Nothobranchius furzeri: one gene and its partner. Each later gene encodes a partner of the first gene's protein in a complex. Links are inferred from orthologs where the notes say so. Each region holds a gene or a part of one and is shown in the gene's direction. Other genes may lie near its edges.

Evidence for each region.
Region 2: wrap53 (region 1) and dkc1 share a complex: the UniProt entries of both Homo sapiens proteins name them as parts of the telomerase holoenzyme complex. The link is inferred for Nothobranchius furzeri from reciprocal best matches to the Homo sapiens genes WRAP53 and DKC1.

What each region holds. Positions count from the first base shown.
Region 1 is NC_091742.1:83,817,830-83,822,173, reverse strand, and holds the start of wrap53 (telomerase Cajal body protein 1), read left to right. Parts: upstream 1-1,541; 5' UTR 1,542-1,753; intron 1,754-2,276; exon of another isoform or gene 2,277-2,384; 5' UTR 2,385-2,424; coding exon 2,425-2,665; intron 2,666-2,751; coding exon 2,752-2,923; intron 2,924-4,344. UniProt on the Homo sapiens protein: RNA chaperone that plays a key role in telomere maintenance and RNA localization to Cajal bodies. Specifically recognizes and binds the Cajal body box (CAB box) present in both small Cajal body RNAs (scaRNAs) and telomerase RNA template component (TERC).
Region 2 is NC_091758.1:16,260,446-16,263,495, reverse strand, and holds part of dkc1 (H/ACA ribonucleoprotein complex subunit DKC1), read left to right. Parts: exon of another isoform or gene 1-82; intron 83-811; exon of another isoform or gene 812-1,063; intron 1,064-1,794; coding exon 1,795-1,886; intron 1,887-1,956; coding exon 1,957-2,141; intron 2,142-2,354; coding exon 2,355-2,419; intron 2,420-2,490; coding exon 2,491-2,617; intron 2,618-2,694; coding exon 2,695-2,825; intron 2,826-3,050.

The sequences.
Region 1 (4,344 bases):
CAAACAGACTACATGCACACTTACAGCTAACGTTCCAGTGGCTCCTCTAGAACCATCTACACACACACACATCAACTCATCAATATACACGATGAGCTTTGTAAATAGTGTACTATACCTTTTGTTTCTTCTCATAGAGGGTTTTGGCTTTATTTGTTTGTTCAACATGCCTTATTTTGTATAGTTAAGTCTCGAATGGCTAACTGAAAATGTTCTCAACAATGAGTGTTAGTTGGAAACCACCTTGTTAACTGTTTTCTGTTGGCTTAAAGAGCTGCGATGCATAAACCTCATCCATCCACTCACCTTTAGTTCTACACACACAGAGCAGGAAGTGTTGACTTTCTTTTTTTTTTAAATCTTTTTGCTGGTGGTAGGCTTTTGTTTTCACTAAAATGGAGAGTGAATTTGTTCAGATTTAGGTGATTTTTGATGGTGCAGGCTCAAAAAGAGCTGGAGTCTGTGCAGTGGAGCTGAGCTGATCGGGGCAAATTGGTGTCTAATTAGGATCCTAGTTAAAAAGGCAGTTGGGGTAAATAAGTTTCCTTTTTGTTTAACACTCCAGAAGATTTGGTAAGAGATGCATATATTGTCCTATAAGGACAAGCTTTATATATTAATCACATGAATTTTGACAGATTAATTGGGTGGTGAACATCTTCAATAGCACTGAATAGGAGTTAACCAGTCCATTGTGTAAGCCTGAACTATGTTTGTCAAATTACATTTTAAAAAAAGGGTTTTTTGGTCACGTATTAGGTTTTTGTGACATTTATAGCCACACAATTGGCTGTTTCTACCACCTATTAACCTTCTAATAAATGCCCATGGAGGTCAAACTCATCCCAGCAAGACTTTGGTACGCCGCGACACTTTGAGATTATAAACAAATCTTGGACAAGCTTTTAACTATGCAATAAAGTCTAATTTGCCTACAAACCCCTGTTTTTAAGCTGAATATGTGAGCTTAATCATTGCTCAGTCTGCTTTTCTATTTTACTGCACTACAAAGGCTTTTATTATCACGTTCACTAGTTTCTGGTTCAAACACAACTCACTGATTGGTGCACGGGTGGATATGAATTTGCAGAATGGTTTGATGATAATTTTACTCCGGTCAGCTCAGCTCCTCTCTAACAAGTCTGTAATTGTTGTTGGATATAACAGCATACTTTATATTTGATGAAACTGTTTCAGAGAAGAACAACAGAGCTGTGTAAATAGTTTGACTCATGTTTGAAGAACAAAATAAATACTAAATAAACCACATTTATCTGTCAGAACTGTTTATTTAAAGATTTAATTCTTGCGAAATATTTGCATATCAAAATGTATGAAAAAAAATGTTAGAGGAAAAAGTCAGATTTTTTGTCTTGTTTATTTTATTTTTTGAATGTCATTTAGTTTATTAAAACGTATCACATTCACATTAGGTGTTCCTAACATCCGTAAAACAACTAAATTGAGCGTTTTCTTAAGCGAATATAGTCTAAACATGATTCATTCTCCTTTAGGAAGTCCACTAATTATGTAACCTGCTCTAGCAACGTTCTAAAACGGAAGTCTCGCGATACTTTAGGACACATGGCCGCCTACGGTGTTTACAACTTCTCGCAATGAGCTGCTGAACTGACAACTAAGTTATCTACCTCTGAGACCTCGTCTAGTTTTGTAGAATTTGTTTTCGTCTAAAATTAAAAACCGCTGAGTGGAAAACAGCGAAGCATCAACGCTCAGGCGAAGCACAACGCAGGTAGGTAGCAACAACCCGTTAGCTCGGTCAATGCTAACCTGAGCAAACACAGTGTAGCGGTCTCTGTTAGTGGTCCAAAACGTGACTCAAAGGTGTTTTTACTTTATTTACATGAATGTTGTGGACTTGAAGTTAAATAGACGACGGCTGTTGTAACAAGTTGTCGGGTTTGCTAAAAATGAACACGAAGGCTCGTTAAAGTAGCTACAGGTGTTGGAACATCCGTGTTTATGCCTCTTTAATTTTATAATTATTATAATTAAGGTGCACTAATGATGAAACTTTGTATAAAAGTTAAAACTTAAAATTTAAGTAGTTGTAGTCGTCACAAACTTCACATACGTTCAACCCGACCTTTCCATGCATTTTGCTATAGTAACAGATTACGTTTCTAAAATGTTAGCTGGTCTTTTAAAGTTAAAATAATTGTATAAAAAATAGCCTTTCTCACGCTCTTATTTTGAAATGGTCAGTTTTCTAGAATCTGGTCTGGAATCACAATCCTGTTACCTGTTTATCTCAGGTGGGTGATGTCATCAAACCCCGACAGACTCAATCGTCCACACTGCAGGAAGAAGCACTATCCTAGTAGCACCTACCTCACCCACGTCTGACAGCACTCTCCCAGCAGGACAAAAAGACACCAGACAGAGGAGGACAGAGACACAGCCATGTCTGACTCAGCCGGAGGTGGGGAGGGTGGAGGCCTGGCGGGTGCAGACTCTGAAGCAGACAGCGAGCCCCCTCCACAGGCCTCACTGAGACGTTGTGAGTCTGTAGAAGTCGGAGAGACTTCAGAGGAGGGGTTCCCACCTTCTGCCAAACGGTCCAGGAGGAGTGAGGAGGAGCTGGGACAAGATGCGGTCCCATCACAAGGTGGTGTGTTAGAAAACCCTGCTGCATCTGCACAAAGTAAAGTCCTGTTCATATGAAGTTATACACATTAGAGTTGAAACTTACATATATCATTTATATAGTTTCTTCTGTTCTGTTTAAAGCAACAATAGAACAAAGGTGTGAGGAGGAAGAGGGGGCTGAGGAAGACGTGGCAGCAGGTCATCTGAATGGAGCCAAAGCTCCTGATGATGCAGAGGAAACTGAGACAAAACCAGAAGAGGAGGAGGCGCTCAACGAGAATGAATCTGTAGGCAGCCCTGCTGCAGGACAGCAGTGAGTTCAAATAATGTTTTATTTTTCTGTTTTCTTAAAGCGAGGGTAACGATACAGCAGACTAGGGCTGAAACGATTCCTCGAGTACCTCGAATAATTGGAGTACAAAAATCCTCGAGTCAAATTCTCTGCCTCGAGGCTTCGTTTCATTCATGTTTAATTAATTCATGGCTTTGCAATCGCCCGGGGTCATGTTTCACCCAGACCGAAATAAGTGACGCACATACATACTGCACTGAATGCACACGCGAGTAGCGGACGCTACTGAACTTTCTTTTAAGCCATGGCGAACAACGTGGACCCCGGTGGAGTGCGAAAAAGACAGAAAATGTCAAAGGTGTGGGACCATTTTTCACGTCGTAAGGCGGAAAACGTACTCTAGTTTAAAAACTGTAAAATGGATTTAGCCTACCACAACACCACATCCTCGATGCTGCAGCACCTGACCAGGAAACATCCACATGTAAATGTCACTTCTGCAAGCGGACTCGGAGCCTCTACAAGATAATGCATTTTAGCCTGTATTTCTATATATTCTGCAGACACTGTGACTTTTTCGTTTGTAGCACTCAGTTTCAGCTCACACCGTGCGTCTGGTAGCAACACGTCGGTCTTAAAATGTGCTAAAAATAGCAGTTTTTACAACACGTCGGACTTTTTATTGTGTTGTTATTGATGTCCGTTGTCCCTCAGGATTGCTGCAGGAGGACACGGGTATTTATGAGTGGCGGAGGAAAACGAAAGAAAGTAAATAAATGTTTTGTGAACAGTATAATTTGACATAACAACGGCAAACATGCTTTCGACAATCCTTGTTATTGTGTGAGACAAAAAAGTGTAGAAATTAAAACGGACGGGTGTTAATAGGGAAACAGCTGGCGAGCCATGTTTGCGCATGCGCCGTGAGCGGTTCTGGTTCTGTTTGGGCCGCAGCCGCTCTCATTTGTTTACAGTTGAAGTGCTGAAGTTTTGAAAACTAAATTTGAATAAAACTTGAAGAATAACTGGCAATTGCGGGCTCATTTTAAGAGGTCTTTCATATTTTATAACATGCTGTTTGATATAATGGTTTACAAACGCAAAAGGGTAATTTATTAGAGTACTCGATTAATCGATAAAATATTCGATAGAGTACTCGATTACAAAAATATTCGATAGCTGCAGGGCCCTACAGCAGACCCCAAAAGGTTAGATAAAAACATTTGACTGGAAAAAGCTCACAAAATGTCTGAGAGAAATAATTAAATTGGTCGTTCAAGAAAATATTTCAGAATTATGTTATTTTTTTAAGCAAATCTAATAAAAATGTGTTTTTAAGCAGAATTTTGAAGTTAGTGTTTTTGTTTTTAACAGGGTATCTGCAGGTCCTTAAAAAGTCTTAAATTTGCTTTTCTACATTTAAGGCCTTAAAAATCCTTAAA
Region 2 (3,050 bases), on another chromosome or scaffold:
AAGTGAACATTTGAGACGAAAACGTGGGGGCTGAGGAAGAGCACCGCGGTCAAGTGAGCCGTCATTTGGAAGAGCCAGCCCGGTAAGTAACAGAAAATAAACAAGCTGGACTTAGTGTTTTAGCTGAGTTCGTTATAGTGGATGTTAAACATGTTTTTTTGTCGCGTCAGTCTACGGTGTTCTACTTCTGATTGACTAGATGCAATCGTGAATCTCCTCCGTGTTGTGAATCATGCGCTTGCCAAATTCAGCACGTCTGTTTATAAGAATGTTCTAGTTAAGAGAAAAACGGCACAAACCCATAACTATGTTCCTCATTCAAAAAAGGACAACTCTGCGGTGAAAAATATACAGACGAGCTGTGTCCAGGTGAATATAACGCGGCATAGTTGTACGCTTTCAATTTTTAAATACAGGAGAAATTCAGAAAAAGTCATTTTTTTACTATTAAAAGGCTGTTTTACTGTCTAACGCTGTAAAACGCCTCACAACACATTTTTATCATGTTTCTTAAACAGTATTACACAAAATAAACATTTTTCACATTTTTCTAGCTAATTTAAACACTCCCGACTCAAAGTAAAAACCTCATGAGCTTCTTACTTAGAGCTTTTTAATAGTAAAAAAATTAGACTTTTTTTCTTAATATCTCCTGTTGCGGCCTATTTTGTAGAACGTAACCCTCAAAATAAATGATCACTGTATATTGTTAATTAATACAAATAATTTAACATTGATTTAGTGTTGTAGTGTGTGTGCTGCTTTATTTTATATGTGTACTTATTTCAGTCTATTTGTGTTTCTTATGCAGAAAAAAACAAGCAACGATGGACAACTACATGGGGAACAAGACACTCACCCCCCAGCAATTCATACCACTTACAAACTCTATTCTAAACATGCTGGTAAAAGACATGAGGCCACTATCCATGGTGGAAGGAGCAGGCTTCCAGCTAATGCTAAAAAATTATTCTGGACTGATATTTTGCACTGTTTAGCTCATTTTATACTGCTGACTGTGTTCATGTGCAATAAAATAGATTGCAGTCAACTGCACAATTCTCTTATGTTTTTTTTTTCTTAACTGAAATGCATCCATCACTTGTATAGGTTAAATAGCTAAACAGTAACAAACCGATTAATCGAAAAAATAATCGACAGATTAATCGATTATGAAAATAATCGTTAGTTGCAGCCCTAGTCTTGTCAAATGCACCGCGTACGTTATGAAAAAAGTTACTTTAAATATTCAACCGAAAAAGAGGCGAGCTGAAGAAAACCTAGAGTGCACTGAAGAAAGGTGAGCAACAGTGAAGCAATCAGAGAGATCCGTTACTGTGTGTGGATGGGCCGGACGGACTGAGCTCCCTGCAGACTTATGTGTAGGGAGGGGCGGGCACTCTATGTGAATGGCCAATCACAGAGCATGAAGACAGTCAGTTACCCAATGAGGATTTTCCTTCAGCACACTTAGATATTTACGAGTTTAATGCTCGTATTCGTCAAAAATGCTTTATCCGTACCGGATACTCGTCTGAAATGAGTATCCGGCTCATCCCTAGCTGTAACCTCCCTGCCCTGCCACCTCCTCCTTGCTGCCTGTCGGCTGTGATCACAAGCAACGGAGTAGTTCCCGCTGCTTCTTCGGGAAACGGCGCAAAAAAAAAAAATTTAACTTGGGATCTTGTAGGCGTGGCGCTGGGATTTCAGCTGTGGCAAGCCGCCACAGCTACACCTATGTAAGGGAAACTCTGCAGACCCACTAGCTGAGGTGGTTTGTTTTGCTTCTTGCAGAATCTCCATAAGCTGAACATCCTTACATCTCATTACACCCCCATACCCAGTGGCAGCAACCCGCTGAAAAGAAACATCAGCGACTATGTCAGGTACTTTCACTAGATCACAGCTCTGACTGAGCTCTATCTACAGTGGTGACCATGCATCTCCTCTCATCAGGTCTGGATTCATCAACCTGGACAAACCAGCCAACCCTTCGTCTCATGAGGTGGTGGCGTGGATCCGGAGGATCCTGCGAGTGGAGAAGACGGGCCACAGCGGGACTCTAGACCCAAAGGTCACTGGCTGCCTCATCGTCTGCATTGACCGAGCCACCAGACTAGTGAAGTCCCAGCAGAGTGCTGGTGAGTGCCCAATGCATTAACCCCAAAAGCTTTAAGAAGTGGGCAAACATTTATTAGCTAATGTACATGCTGTGTGCATGTCAGTAGCCACTGGTGGACTCAAATCTTTTGAATATGTGGCCTACATCCAACAGGAAGTCATCCATTTAGGGTCAAAGATGCCATTTGCAACTTGTTGGTTGTATAAAAACAAAAAGCTTCTGTGTGTTACAGGTAAGGAGTATGTGGGAATCGTTCGGCTGCACAACGCAGTAGAGAGTGAACACGTGCTGGCCCGGGTAAGTCACACCCTGTATTTGCTGCCTTTCCTCTGACCTGACCAGCTGATGGTCCTGAATGTCCTCTGCAGGCCCTGGAGACCTTGACCGGAGCTCTATTCCAGCGTCCTCCCCTCATCGCTGCAGTGAAACGTCAGCTGAGAGTCCGAACCATCTACGAGAGCAAGCTGATCGAGTACGACCCAGAGCGGAGGCTGGGTGAGACACTCATTTTGACGCCGAGGTCATGAAGTTTGATGCTCTTCTGCTTTAAATCATGTTTTTCTTCTGAACAGGCATCTTCTGGGTCAGCTGTGAAGCAGGAACTTACATCAGGACTTTGTGTGTCCACCTGGGACTTTTACTTGGAGTTGGAGGACAGATGCAGGAATTGAGGAGGGTCCGGTCTGGAGTTCTGGGCGAGAAGGTCAGTGTGTGTCCACGTGCATCTTGCTGTTGTGATGGTTTATTGTATCACAGCTGGTTAAGTGATCGCAGTAGGAACCACGTTCAGTTCTCTAGTCCAAAGTGTTGAGTCCAGCTCTGCTGCTTAGTGCCGAGCTGTTAATTAGACTTTGGAAGAGTAAGCGCAGCGGAGCAACGATGGGCGTGCATGTCCGCCTGTTGAGACTCGGTGCTGCTAACATAACAT